3 linked regions of the Nothobranchius furzeri genome follow. The protein of the gene in region 1 purifies or fractionates together with the protein of each later gene. This does not show direct contact. Links are inferred from orthologs where the notes say so. Each region holds a gene or a part of one and is shown in the gene's direction. Other genes may lie near its edges. The genes, in order: acin1b, sap18 and RNA-binding protein with serine-rich domain 1.

Evidence for each region.
Region 2: the proteins of acin1b (region 1) and sap18 fractionate together in Homo sapiens (co-fractionation; 7 studies listed by BioGRID and IntAct, with this or other methods). This does not show direct contact. The link is inferred for Nothobranchius furzeri from reciprocal best matches to the Homo sapiens genes ACIN1 and SAP18.
Region 3: the proteins of acin1b (region 1) and RNA-binding protein with serine-rich domain 1 purify together in Homo sapiens (affinity purification with mass spectrometry; 6 studies listed by BioGRID and IntAct, with this or other methods). This does not show direct contact. The link is inferred for Nothobranchius furzeri from reciprocal best matches to the Homo sapiens genes ACIN1 and RNPS1.

Annotation. Positions count from the first base shown.
Region 1 is NC_091742.1:59,513,851-59,518,639, reverse strand, and holds the start of acin1b (apoptotic chromatin condensation inducer 1b), read left to right. Parts: upstream 1-1,459; 5' UTR 1,460-1,603; coding exon 1,604-1,738; intron 1,739-4,789.
Region 2 is NC_091754.1:55,847,785-55,852,111, forward strand, and holds sap18 (histone deacetylase complex subunit SAP18), read left to right. Parts: upstream 1-1,701; 5' UTR 1,702-1,809; coding exon 1,810-1,881; intron 1,882-3,027; coding exon 3,028-3,137; intron 3,138-3,211; coding exon 3,212-3,334; intron 3,335-3,431; coding exon 3,432-3,588; 3' UTR 3,589-3,685; downstream 3,686-4,327. UniProt on the Homo sapiens protein: Component of the SIN3-repressing complex. Enhances the ability of SIN3-HDAC1-mediated transcriptional repression. When tethered to the promoter, it can direct the formation of a repressive complex to core histone proteins.
Region 3 is NC_091752.1:58,150,157-58,154,919, forward strand, and holds RNA-binding protein with serine-rich domain 1, read left to right. Parts: upstream 1-1,685; 5' UTR 1,686-1,807; coding exon 1,808-1,809; intron 1,810-2,711; coding exon 2,712-2,861; intron 2,862-2,957; coding exon 2,958-3,137; intron 3,138-3,216; coding exon 3,217-3,322; intron 3,323-3,624; coding exon 3,625-3,778; intron 3,779-3,875; coding exon 3,876-4,017; intron 4,018-4,091; coding exon 4,092-4,197; 3' UTR 4,198-4,486; downstream 4,487-4,763. UniProt on the Homo sapiens protein: Part of pre- and post-splicing multiprotein mRNP complexes. Auxiliary component of the splicing-dependent multiprotein exon junction complex (EJC) deposited at splice junction on mRNAs.

The DNA of each region.
Region 1 (4,789 bases):
GCTTTGATGGTACACCTTCTGTTTTTTTAAGTGTTAACTTATTGAATATTTTATTCAAACCTTGCTGTGGTCCAAGTGTCGGTGTGGACGTGCTATTTTGGGAGTTTTGCTTTAATGTGCTTGCCATATTTCTTGTCCCCACACATGAGTCATTTCCTTTCCTTTATTTATCTAGCAACCCTCTCAAGTCCAAAAATAGTGCAAGAGGAGGCCTGGCATCCTGCTTCTGACCCGCTTTTCTCGATACCTGATAGGCCTTCCCTTTTTCTTGTTATGAATCTGATCTGCATGCTGGAAGTTTTGTGCTTTTAAATAAGCAACGTGACACTTCAAGGGTAGTGTTTAACGAACATTTTATGCTTGATCTGTCTTCTGCTAGAAACGGTTGAAACATGACTGGACAGATTTTTTATTTCGCTGTCATGCAGTCCCATGCATGTCGAGTTAACAACCCAGGAACTAAAAGATGGTTAATGATTGCTGAATGAAGAATTACCTAAGCTTTTTTTTTTTTTTTTCACACTCTGTCATCAGAATCCTGTTGACCAAGTTCTCCTGTCCCAACATGTCTTGTTTAGGTGTCTTCTGCTTTACTTTTAGTCATTATTAGCAATGTTCGTGTAAGTAAACGCTGAGGTTTATACACAAAGTATGCACCACAATCTGACCTTCCAGGTGATGCTGCCGTGGCCTCGAGTGAAAACTACAATATAAAGCACGGCCCACCTAAGTTTGTTTACATTTAGTATTCTTCATGAGTGATGTGTTGCATTTTACAGCTTAAACACAAAATCAAGTTGTTGTTTTCTTTACAAAGAGGGATATACATTTTAAGATTTAATTACATGATCTGATTTATGGATTCAAATGTCATGATGCCTTTTGTTTTACTGTCTAAAGCTTTGATGAAGCGCCACCTTCTGGACGTTTGAAGTATTATCTAAGGAGTACTCAGCAGATCAAACCCCATCACTGTGTGCTAGAATATAACTGACAACCTTTAGATTTTTGTTATTTTTTATTCATATCTTTAATTTTACATTTGCATGGCTTTTAAGTTCTTTACCTTTTTATGCACATATTTCACCTGGGGATTTTAATTTTGAGTGTTAGCATTTTTATATACATATTTTACACTACAAGGTAAAAATATGGCAACCGTTACTTTGTATAGGGGCTTTTGTTTGTATTTGATAACGTATTGAGAAGACCCTTGGACTTGTTTTTTTAACACTACTTTTGATGTCAGTTTTGGGTCTGTTCATTATGCACAAATAGATTCTTTACTACAAACGCGTTTTGCTTTGCGTGAACTTTCATATTGTGTTTTTTTTTTCCATTCAGGTTCTGTGAATAACGGTGTTATTTATTGATCCTGTCGGATATTTCTTAAACCAAAAATGTCGGTGGCCTAGTTTTCCTTTAAGAAATAAAAGGATAAAAAACTGTTCTGAATTGAGCTGAATAAGTGGCGGGAAGGGTGAAACTGGCTCGGTTCGTGTGATTCGGCTGAAAAAACGAGCGTTTCCGGAAACTACCGAGCAGTGACGCCGAGCGGCCGTAGCGACGTTTGTTGGGAGTTTAGACAAGCGGAGGGAGCAAAATGGCGGACGAAGATATTACGCTTGATGGAAAACCTCTACAGTCGCTCCGAGTTGCGGATTTGAAAGCTGCCCTGGAGCAAAGAAACCTCCCGAAAAGCGGACAGAAAAACACGCTGATTAAGCGACTCAAAGGGGTAAGTTTGTGCGCTTGCTTTGCTAGTCTGTCGAGTCTGGCTAACTTCAGCAGGAGGCGAGAGACGGCAGGAGGGGGGGTAACATTAGAGGCCGTAACGGTGTGTTGAAGCGGGAATCCAGAAATTGTCATGCTCACCGTGTTAGAAGTAAACACGGCACTTTGTTACCGACAACACAACCGGACTATCTGCCTAACGAGGCCCGAGTTGAGTCGTAACTAGTCACCGAACACCGTGTTGCACACAGTTGAACTGTGCACCTGTCAACTCGAGGCCTAAGCTGAGAGTAGCCAACAGCCGCACACAGTGTACAGTACTTGACAGTACCCGCGGGCACGCCATCCGAGTGTGTTCTGGAGGCACGGGAGCGCGCACAGCTATGTAAACACAAATTGACGAGCTTTGTTATCTTGTGCGTTTTTATTTTCACTGATGTCAGATATGTATTTAACATACACATAAGTGATTTTACGCAGAACACTGAACACAAAGAAGCCTTAAATGTTGATTATATAATTGTTTCCACTGACCCGTCCTACAGAAAAAGGTTAGCAAACATGCTAGTTGAAGTCTCGAAATATTTTTAATTTAGTAAGAAAACACCGTTTTTTTTGCTCCAATCGAATTAAAATTTAAAGATTAAAGTTACATTTCCTTATATGAATATATATTTGGATTATTTTGTAGGAGCATTCAAGAAGTCTCGCATCCCATCTGTTGCTATAAGACGTTGCACTTTTCTCTTAGAAAGTTTTATTGTTGGTCAAAGATGTTTGTCATCATTTAAGCAACGGACCTTTTACAACGTACTGAATCGGATTAAATTGTAACTGGATTTTAAGTAGAATCCTAATTCAGGTGTAATTGGATATTTGGAAATTAATTGAATGAACTGGATTTAACTAGATTACATGCAATTCAGTTTCAGTTGAACCCACTTGTTATTTGATAAATAATATGCCCTGGAATTTATTTAATTGTGAATTAATTAATTTATTATGAATAATTTCAATAAAAAAACTCAACTGAGGTGTATATATAATATATATATATATATATATATATATATATATATATAATATGCATATTATATATCTACAGGGTTTTTCCTGGCTCAAATTAAGGCAGAGGTGGTACCATCCTGACCATGCGTCAGCACATGCATACTCTATGCATTCAACTGCCTCACTTTTTTAAAGGCTAAATATTATAAAAGGCTCAATAATATGCATTAGAGTAGTGTTTAGTTCCCTTTTTCCCATCTGATATTTATGGTTAAAAATATTTTTAAATATTTGACCTACATTTCAGTAACATTTTAGGTTTGTATTAATAACACTCATCTTAGTCAAAATAACATAAATAAATCCAGGAAAATATAATGCATTTCATTAACATGCATTTGTATTAGAATTGCTAATAACATTTAATTTCTGCTGCTAACAATGTAATGGTGGCATGTCTATTATGTATGGGTTAGGGGGGTGTTTTGTTTTGTTTTGGCCCCTAAAATGCTTTGAAACGGCCCTGGGTGTGTGACTGAGTTTTGAAGGTGATCTGAATTGTATCAGATGTATGAGTATGACATGTGGATAACTTATTGTTTTATAACTTATTGTAACTTATTATAAAAACGTGTAGTGGAGATAACTCTACCGACATTTGACTTTCAAGATTTGTTTTCTTGTTTTATTTAACTATTTTCCTGTCCTGTCTGTCTCTCATCTTCCTGCATCTCCTCTAAACTCCAGAAAAACTGCTGCCTGGATTCTTACTTTTTCACCTCATCAGTTACTTTTGAGCAGATCAAAGGATCTCCTGATCGCAAAGCATAGTGTGCGTTTCGATTAGGGCTGCAACTAACGATTATTTTCATAATCGATTAATCTGTCTATTATTTTTTTTCGATTAATCGGTTTGTTATTGTTTAGCTATTTAACCTATACAAGTGATGAATACATTTCAGTTAAGAAAAACATAAGAGAATTGTGCAGTTGACTGCAATCTATTTTATTGCACATGAACACAGTCAGCGGTGTAAAATGAGCTAAACAGTGCAAAATATCAGTCCAGAATAATTTTTTGGCATCAAAATATAAGAGGTAAATTCCATAAAAAAATAATGCAGAATCTAGAATAGAGTTTGTAAGTGGTATGCATTGCTGGGGGGTGAGTGTCTTGTTCCCCTTGTAGTTGTCCATCGTTGCTTGTTTTTTTCTGCATAAGAAACACTGAAATAAGTACACATATAAAATAAAGCAGCACACACACTACAACACTAAATCAATATTATATTATTTGAATTAATTAACAATATACAGTGATCATTTATTTTGATAAAAATGTGTTGTGAGGCGTTTTACAGCGTTAGATAGTAAAACAGCCTTTTAATAGTAAAAAAAATGACTTTTTCTGAATTTCTCCTTTATTTAAAAATTGAAAGCGTACAACTATGCCGCGTTATATTCACCTGGACACAGCTCGTCTATATTTTTCTCCACGGAGTTGTCCTTTTTTGAATGAAGAACATAGTTATGGGTTTGTGTCGTTTTTCTCTTAACGAGAACATTCTTATAAACAGACGTGCTAAATTTGGCACGCGCATGATACACAACACGGAGGAGATTCACGATTTCATCTAGTCAATCAGAAGTAGAACACCGTAGACTGACGCGGCAAAAAAACATGTTTAACATCCACTATAACGAACTCAGCTAAAACACTAAGTCCCAAATTTGATCTGCATGTAGTGATGGACCACTATATTTAGCTTGTTTATTTTCTGTTTCTTACCGGGCTGGCTCCTTTGTTGCTGCATCAGCCCCCACATGTTTTCGTCTCAAATGTTCACTTAGGGACGTCGTGCTTCCGTGCCATGCTAGATGGTTTTAGCATATTTTGCAGGTCTCCCGTCTTTTCATGGCATCTAGAGTGAAGTGCTCCCAAACTCGTGAGGTTTTTGTCCGGGGTTTCTCTTCAGTTTCTTCCGTATTTCTTCTTGTTCCGCCGGCCGCCATCTCTCACAGCAAGATGCGCGTCAGTAACGTGTTA
Region 2 (4,327 bases), on another chromosome or scaffold:
CACCACCCGGTCCCAAAAGAAAGTCTTCACATGGTTTAACTAAGCAAATGGGCACGAGCTTATTGGATAATTACTGCATGGGCGATTATCAACGAGTTATTTAACTCCAACTGGTACACTGAGTTGCTTCTCATTTCTTAAACAACCATGAGGAACGACACATCTGGTGGTCATGGAAGAGATGTTATAAGGGTCAGATCATTGGCGTGCATTAAGCAGAGAAAGCATCTAAGGAGATTGCAGAAACAACTAAAACTGGGTTAAGAACTGTCCAACGCATTCTTAAAAACTGGTCTGAGTCCAGATGGACCCTGTTCCAGAGTGATGGTGCATCAGGGTAAGAAGAGAGGCAGATGAAGTGATACACCCATCATGCCTAGTACCTAGTGTACAAGCCTGTGGGGGCAGTGTTATGATCTGTGGTTGCTGCAGGTGGTCGGGTCTAGGTTCAGCAACAGGATGTGCTCCAAGAATGAGGTCAGCTGACTACCTGAATATACTGAATGACCAGGTCATTCCTTCTTCCCTGTTGGCACGGGCATATTCCAAGATGACAATGCCAGGGTTCATCGGGCTCAGATAGTGAAAGAGAGGTTCAGGGAGCATGAGACATCATTTTCACACATGGATTGGTCACCACAGAGTCCAGACCTTAACCCCATTGAGAATCTTTAGGATGTGTTGGAGAAGGCTTTGTGCAGCGGTCTGACTCTACCATCATCAATGCAAGATCTTTGTGAAACTTCAATTCAACACTGGATGGAAATAATTCTTGTGCAGAAACAATGCCACAGTAAATACATGTCGTAATCAAAGCTAAAGACAGTCCAACAAAATATTAGAGTCTGGGAACTTTTAATTTGGTGGTGACTTATTGTTTTGGGCCGTGCAGTGTACAAATGATAAATAACTCACACTTACTGTATATAGCGCTTTTCTGAGTCAGAGAACTTCAAATCGCATTACTCTATAGTGAATATGCAGAAAGAAACCAAGCTAAGTGAAATTAAAAGACGTAAATGATTATATTTCAACGGAGTTTGAATGCAAAATAACCAGGAATCCTGGATAAACTCAATACATTTTTTCGGCTCATTTCATAGGACAATTTGGGTTTTGGCCATCAGATGGTAATGTAACTACCGGTACTTCACGCTATGGTTTTGGCAACCCAATATAGCATATAAATCTCATTTCTCATTTTCTATTTTCTAATAAGAATTTTACCTTAAATTCGTACATTTTGATATTTGAATTAGTCTTGTGTAGGCAGCAAGAGTTGTTTTTATTCGCCCTGTTCTTGCCGTGTGTAATGTTCAATGTTCTAACAATCTTCTGAATTGAAGTCACTATTCAGATTAAAGTGTAGTGTGCTGAGTTCAGTTTCAGAAATTTATGTATTCTAGTTTATATTCTTTTTGGTGAGAAGTGCCAACAGAGAATACTAATGAGTCTGTCACTGAAACTTGAGAGAGCGGTTTGCTTATGTAAAACAATAACTTGCCATCCCTGTAAATTCATGCTGTGTTTTTCTTCTAAACGCTTTTTAAAGTTATTTTTAAAACACAGGATTTTTTTTATTTTTGCCATGTTAACAGTTTCGATCGCTTCTCCAGGAGGTAAAGAAAACCTTTGCTGTGTTTAAAAAATAACCTAAAAACGGAGTAACGTGAATAACTTGCCTTACTTTCACGTGACCGGAAAAGCCTACGCTTTACGTTATGTTCATGTTGCCGTAAAAATATCATCGCTGAAAGACGCAAGTTGCAGCCAGACAGCTTAATAACATTTTAACTGTGTTAAACAAAAATGGCCCTTGAGTCGCGGATCACTCAGGAGGAAATTAAGAAGGAGCCCGAAAAGCCCATCGACCGGGAAAAGGTTAATGTTTGGATAATGTTCAGTAACTCGCTCATCGTGTTGTGTGCTTCTAGCTAACCTTGTTAGCTGGTTTTAAACACTAAAACGGCAGTCGGGAGGAGTAAAAGCTTAAAAAGTGTTTTAAAACGGTCATTTACAGCTATTTAATGTAGCCGTTCTCAATTCTGTGTCGTAAATGTTTTATTTGAACTAAATAAATTAAAATTGTGTATGATTTATCTCGACGGCACCGTCTAGCATGCTAATAAGCTAATGCTAGCAACGCTTTACATGAAAAGACCTCTAAATGTTTTCAGTATTGTAAATGAGTCGGTTTTCCCTGAACAGATAAACATGGTTACATTTGAAAGTTGAAAATAATACTTTTAAGCCTGCATTTTTATTGTTCTTAAGGCAGATAAATAAACTTAAAAAAAGCAAGTATTTTTATTTGTGCTTTTTAACGCGCAAGCACAAGAGTAATAAACAGCAGAAACACAAATAAAACTGTTAAATAAATAAACGAAGGTAGATGTAATTGTCTATTATTTACGTTTAGCAGGAGAAAAAGGGTTGACCATAAGAAAAAATAACGGATATTTGTGAATTATAAATTGATTTTATTTGCTGTAGACTTATACCTGCGAAAACAAATAAGTTTCTATTGGATAATTTACAATAATAAAGAATTGATATAAATAAATATTTTACAATAAGAAATGCTTAATAGAAAAGGGCAATCATATTTCAAATATAGTTTAAGATAACTTTTCTTATTCTGTAAAAAAATTGTAATTTCTGTTTTTGGGTTCAGCCTAATAAAAACATTTTTCCCACATGTGCATTAAAAGGTTGCAGAAAAGTTCACTAAATTTCTTAATCAGGAACCAGATGGCAATCTTAAAAAGCCATTTCTTTCTATCAGCTGTAGGTACTTATTACGGCCACCAGGGGGCAGCGAAGACTCACTTCGGAACTCACTTTGCCCTGATGAAAACTTTCAAAATAAGGTTTATGTAAAAAAAAAATCCAGTTGAATCATTGAAATAACACTGACATTTACATCAGTTATTCTAAATGTGTTCATATATTTAAATCACATGTAAAGAATGTGATATTTATTTGTACTTTTGCTTATGTTTAACTTAGTTTTCTTGTTTCCTTCAGACCTGCCCCCTCCTCCTGAGAGTATTTACTACCAACAGTGGCCGACACCACAGAATAGAGGAATTTTCTAGAGGGAACGTTCCTTCCAGCGAGTTGCAAATCTACACTTGGTAAGACTTACAAACCATTACGTTTCTGGTATATGCTACAGAACCTCTGAAACAAGTGTTTGTTTACATCACAGGATGGATGCTACTCTGAAGGAACTAACTGGTTTAGTGAAGGAAGTGTATCCAGAGGCCAGGAAAAAGGGGACCCACTTCAGCTTTGCCATAGTCTATCCAGAACCCAGAGGGAAAATGTACAAGTAAGTGTCGAGCAACACAGATCGGGGTCGTAAAATCATACTATTGTTCATGAATTCCTGTGGACTGAGTTTGTGCATCTCTTTTTACAATGTTCAGGTTAAAAGAGATCGGCAGTACCATGTCTGGCAGGAAGGGTTTGGAAGACTCCATGACGCTGCAGTCCCAGCGGTTCCAGATTGGAGACTATTTGGACATAGCCATCACACCGCCCAACAGAGCCCCGCCCCTCAACCAACGCATGAGGCCCTTCTGAACGCACATGAAGCGATACATCTGTTTTTGGGTTCTCTTGAGTAGTTTAGCCTCATTTTATAATTCTTCATGTTTAATAAAGCTGTTTTTTCCCTATAGACTGTTGTTGAGTAGTTAATATCAATAATGTGTGTTTGTGAAGAGTTAATTTGCAAAAACAGACCAGTTTTGATCAAACATACCAAACTCACTTGAATGATAATCCTTAATTTAAAAAGTTTTTTTTTTTTTTTTTTTTGCAAATTTGTATAGAGACTTCTCTGTTTCGTTATATAAACTATGTATTTAAGTTAAGGTGCCATCTCCACATTTGACCCATCGCCATAGGGATGGGTGAGCTGTAATTATGGCTGTGCTCAGGAACCAGTTGGTGGTTTAACCCCCAATCCAACCATTTTAAAGTTGAGTGTCAAGCAAGGAGGCATTGGGTCCCATTCTTAAAGTCTTTGGTGTGACACGACTGGGATTTGAACCCCGAATTCCAGACAGGGCGGACACACTACCACTAGACCACTGAGCTGGTATTAAGTCATTTTAAAGAAAAAGATAGACCACGGATAACGTTATTTCAAGCTCTTTGGTGTCTACAAGCTTAAAGTAATGGACGTATGCTTCAACAAACTCAAATGTGGGTATTTGAAAAAGAGACAATGGCAAAGGTCCCCTTTTTCCTGGCCTCTCCATACACTTCCTTTACTAAACCAGTTCGTTCCTTCAGAGTAGCATCCATCCTGTGACGT
Region 3 (4,763 bases), on another chromosome or scaffold:
TCACAATGCCATTGTGAGCCTGTGTGTGTTATTTGTTAATGGCTCCGCCCTCTCGGTCTGCCAGGCAACTGCATTTGTTGCATTTTTCAAATAGGAAGTGCAAGTGGAGTAAGACTCTGGTAGGGGGGTGACTTGCTCCTTAAATGGTCTTTGCTGGTTGCTGCTTTGGATGCTTTTCCAGACTTCTTTGTATATTTCACAAAGGCCCAGTTAGGGTATCTGCAATTTTGGAGTCTCCAAGCAGTTTCAGTCTAGGTCACACCTTTCTGCATCTAATCAACACAACAACTCCCTCCCAATAGAGGCTGACGACTCATCAGGGGATGGAGAAGCGGGTACCCAGAGTAGTTTTGGCTCGTTAAATAACAATAGACAGCTTGACTCTCCCATATTCCAGTTAGAATTGACAAAGCTCCTCAGATGAGAAGCAAATTGTCTTCAAGAAACTAAAGAAGTCCAGTTGCCTTCATCTGAACCCTTTGGGTTACCATGACCTGGATGACTGAGAACCTTCATCAGCATATCTACACACACGTTTTACTTCATGATCTCAAGCACAAGTGAATGGGACATAAATGTAGGTTTTAGGGCTGTGCAGGTATTGAAACCAGATTTTAGGAAAAGTGAAGTTTTTTTAAATGAAATAATGTTTCTGCAAATAAAAATCTACTTTCAGCTCACACTTGATTCAGAAATGAACATGTATAATCAACATACCGTATGTAGCATCCAGTCACATGGCTGCAACAAAACCTCAGGTTAAATATTTTTTAATCATCCATTTAAATAGATAGATGTTTATGTATTTTGCAGACGCTTTAGTCCAAACTTTGGATTCCAAAGTGACTTACAAGTGATAATCAGCATGTTGCCCTTGAGGCTAACAACAACAGTAACAACAACAAACAATTTCCAGTCAGTTGGTGGCAGTGAGGCAGCATGATGAATCATGGAGAACAAGGAGTGGACAGTAGAGAGGGGATGGGTGCAGGGAGGGTGCTAGTTTAGAAGATGTTCTCTGAAGAGCAGGGTCTTCAGGAGTTTCTTGAAAATAGATGGACCATTAATGCCTCAGTTAAACATGGTTATTTGAAAGGTACAAATAATCAACTCCAGTAATCAGGAGACCAAATAATTAATCTTTTATAAAACAAGCATGAGGCTGTTTCACGCATGTGGATATGAGCTCACTTAATAAATCCTGGTTAAACCATGGTGAAATTACAGGCATGATGCATGATCATTTCACCTTTTTACTCCGGAATCCTTAAAAAAGAAATCCAAACGGTGAACGTTTCAAAACACAAACCAAGCCCCAAAACTTCCATTCTCAATGAAAACAGATTAATATGAATTTATTGATGCAGTCCGTCAATGGCTGTGATCTGTGTCTTCTTAAAGACAGCTGTTAACACTGTCCTAACGCGTAATGCGCTACAGCAACGCAACAGCTCAAACCGCATCTACATGTCAACATTGGACACATATCTACAGGAAAACAGATGCTAGCTGAGCTAGCTGTCAACAACATCTGTCATTAATGTACCTCTCTCTCTCTGTCAACAACAGCGAAGCCCCACCACCGTTTCAAACTTGACAAACTCATTTCATATCCAAAAGCGCGTCCGTCTGTGTTTCTACAGAGATGTCGGAAATGCAAGCTGATATTTCACCGTCAACGTCGTAAAATAAACAAATGAGTTGTAAGTGGCGCTCAAGCAGGAACGCAACTTCCGCTGGCGTCATCAACCGTCGACAAGCGAACAGGCCGCAAGTGGTGGAAGCAGAGCTACATCGTCCATAAAAAATGTAGGTTTGAGCTCTTTCCTGGCTTAAAACTGTCCGTTTTTAGTTGTGATGCTTAGTTAATCAACTCTGAAAACCCAGGCGTGTTTTACCGTCGTGTGCTTGTTGCGTGAAGAGCTGAGTGATCGGTTAACGGCATGGTCGGAGCTCTCCTTGTTTAGAGGCAGCGGGCTGAATGAAACTCGTTGGCGGCGGATTTCTGCCTGAGTGCTGCTTTTTCCTATAATAACATAACAAATGTTTACGATTTCCAGCAGACATTTGGTGCTCCCTAAACTATGTGTGATGTGGATTGTTTTTATTTATTTCAGTTATAAATCATGTATATCGTGTTTAGTCTCTTTCAGCTAGCTTACGGCTTGAATTTTTGGTGCCAGATAAGTTGTGTAATATTAGGAGAAAAACGTTATTAGTTTTTTTTATCAGTTGCTTTTACATTAAGGGATTTATTTTAAAATTGAGACATCAGTGTAGTTTTGATAAATGTTCAAGAAAATAAAATTATAAAAATCTTTGTTGCACAAAAGGAAATAAACCTACTGGGGTTTAATTATTCTAAACAAAGAGACAGAAGTTTATTGACTAGTCTGTTGTTTTAACAGCTGGAATAACAACTTAGCGTTCTGTGGTAATTCCACAGTAATGGTAGTGCATCACACTAAAGAAATATTCCTTAGCATTAAAGATTAAACACAACAGTTAAAATGTTGCTTTGTGTTTCATTTTAACTGACAGAAAACACAAAATACACTTTTTGGGTTTCATTTTCAGCTTGTTGAGATTACAGATTAGACCCAGATTTGAATTCTGCATGAATTTGAACATTCCCACAATTTGTAGCTCTTAGATTTGTTAAATCCATTTGTGTAAAACAACTAAACTAACAGATGTTTACATCACTTTAGGGCACCATCTCCTACGAAAAGGAAGGAGGAAGAAAAATCTAAAGATAGGGGCAAAGAGAAGACTGCCACCAAGGAAGGAGACAAAGAGAGAGGACGGGACAAAGTAAGGAAACGTCGTAGTGCCTCTTCTGGAAGCAGCAGCAGCAGCAGGTCTGAGTTCCTTCTCATTTGTTATATCACTAGAGAAATCTGTGCTAAAAATTCCTAACAAACCATTTCATTTGTTCTGATTGTGACCGGATCCAGATCTAGCTCATCATCCAGCAGCAGCTCTGGTTCTAGCTCAGGTTCCTCGAGTGGATCCAGCTCTTCTGGCACCAGTCGATCTGGATCGTCCAGCTCTCGATCGTCATCCTCCTCCAGCTCCTCTGGCTCGCCGAGCCCCAGCCGCAGGCGCCATGACAACCGCCGGCGCTCCCGATCACCGTAAGTCTTTGTTCGTGTCTCAGTGTTTACGATGACTTTTGGTTTCTAGTTATTTATTTACTGCTTTCTGATTTTTCAGGTCTAAAACACAGAAGAGAGGAGAGGACAAAGAGCGAAGGAAACGAAGCCCGATTGTCAAACCCACTAAGGTTCACTTAGGAAGGCTGACCAGAAACGTTACCAAGGTTAGCTTAAATGAAGAACATCTGCTTTCTCTTTCTCATCATGTCTGCTTTTATTTGAGACTATGATGCAATCTCAAGGTTATGTAAGTGCACAAGAACAGCCACGCACATCCTTAATGTGTAGTAATTAAAGATAAAATCTGAGAAGATTTTCTTGTGTGCATCGGGTGTGTTAGTCATCAGCAATGCTCTGCTCAAAACAAAAAGGAGAAAATAAAGAGTTTGTTTTATTTGTTTGGCATCAAGATAATTTTGTGTCAAAGTTGAGAGAATATCTGACCTTTCTATTTCTGTTGTACCAGGATCACATCCAGGAGATCTTTTCCACTTATGGAAAAATCAAAATGATTGACATGCAGATGGATAGGATGCACCCACACCTGAGCAAGGGCCATGCTTATGTGGAGTTTGAGACCCCTGAGGAGGCACAGAAGGCCCTTAAACACATGGACGGAGGTTGGTGTGCATGTTCAATTTAACAGCCTCTGGGTCTCAGGAACACTGGGGGTCTTTTCTGTGTGTTGATTATTTTTTATGACTATTATAAAAACAGGTCAGATTGACGGACAGGAAATCACAGCCGCTGCTGTTCTGCCTCAACGGATCCGTCTACCACCTCGCAGACTGTCTCCTCCTCGCAGAATGCCCCCACCACCTCCTATGTGGCGGCGCAGCCCACCACGCATGAGGAGGAGGTATCGCCTACAGACAGTTTCAGCCATAAACACACACACGTGTACAGGTAATAATGCCGTTTTTGTTGTTTCAGGTCTCGTTCTCCAAGGAGACGATCCCCGGCACGTCGCCGTTCCCGCTCCAGGTCTCCTGGTCGCCGGCGCCATCGCTCTCGCTCCAGCTCCAACTCCTCCAGATAAACTCATTCAGATGTCATGTGGTTTTCTACGCTGTGATGCTGATCAGCTACAACCCTCGTTTTCTCAGACTCCTTTGACTCAGTAGAAATGCCATCATCTACGCTGTATGTGTGGTCATAGCAAGAGTGCTTCTGTTCCATTTGATTTTTTCTTAAATTTTGTGCTAAGTTGATTCAGAAAAGTTAGCTTAGTTTTATGTTGCCTCTACCGGGATCTACAAACATTTTGTTTCCTTTTACCTTGTATTACGTCCTTTTAACTTTTAAAAAATAAAGATGCAGAAACAGAATTTCTGAATGTTCAAGTTAAACTTCTTGTCTCAGCAGCTCTAAGGTGACTTACTGTTAAATAAAAGTTCATATTTTACATCGATCTTTCTATTTGTGAACTTGCATAGAAACTACAATGGCATCTCATTACTATGAGAGACTATCTCTTATTTATGACACTAATTGTACATCTTACCTAAGGTTTTGTCACTCGAGTACAAATGTTTCATGTTCAGTTCACTATGAGGAGATGCGTTCGTTCTCAGAAAGACGGACACTAGAAAGCCACAATGGCAG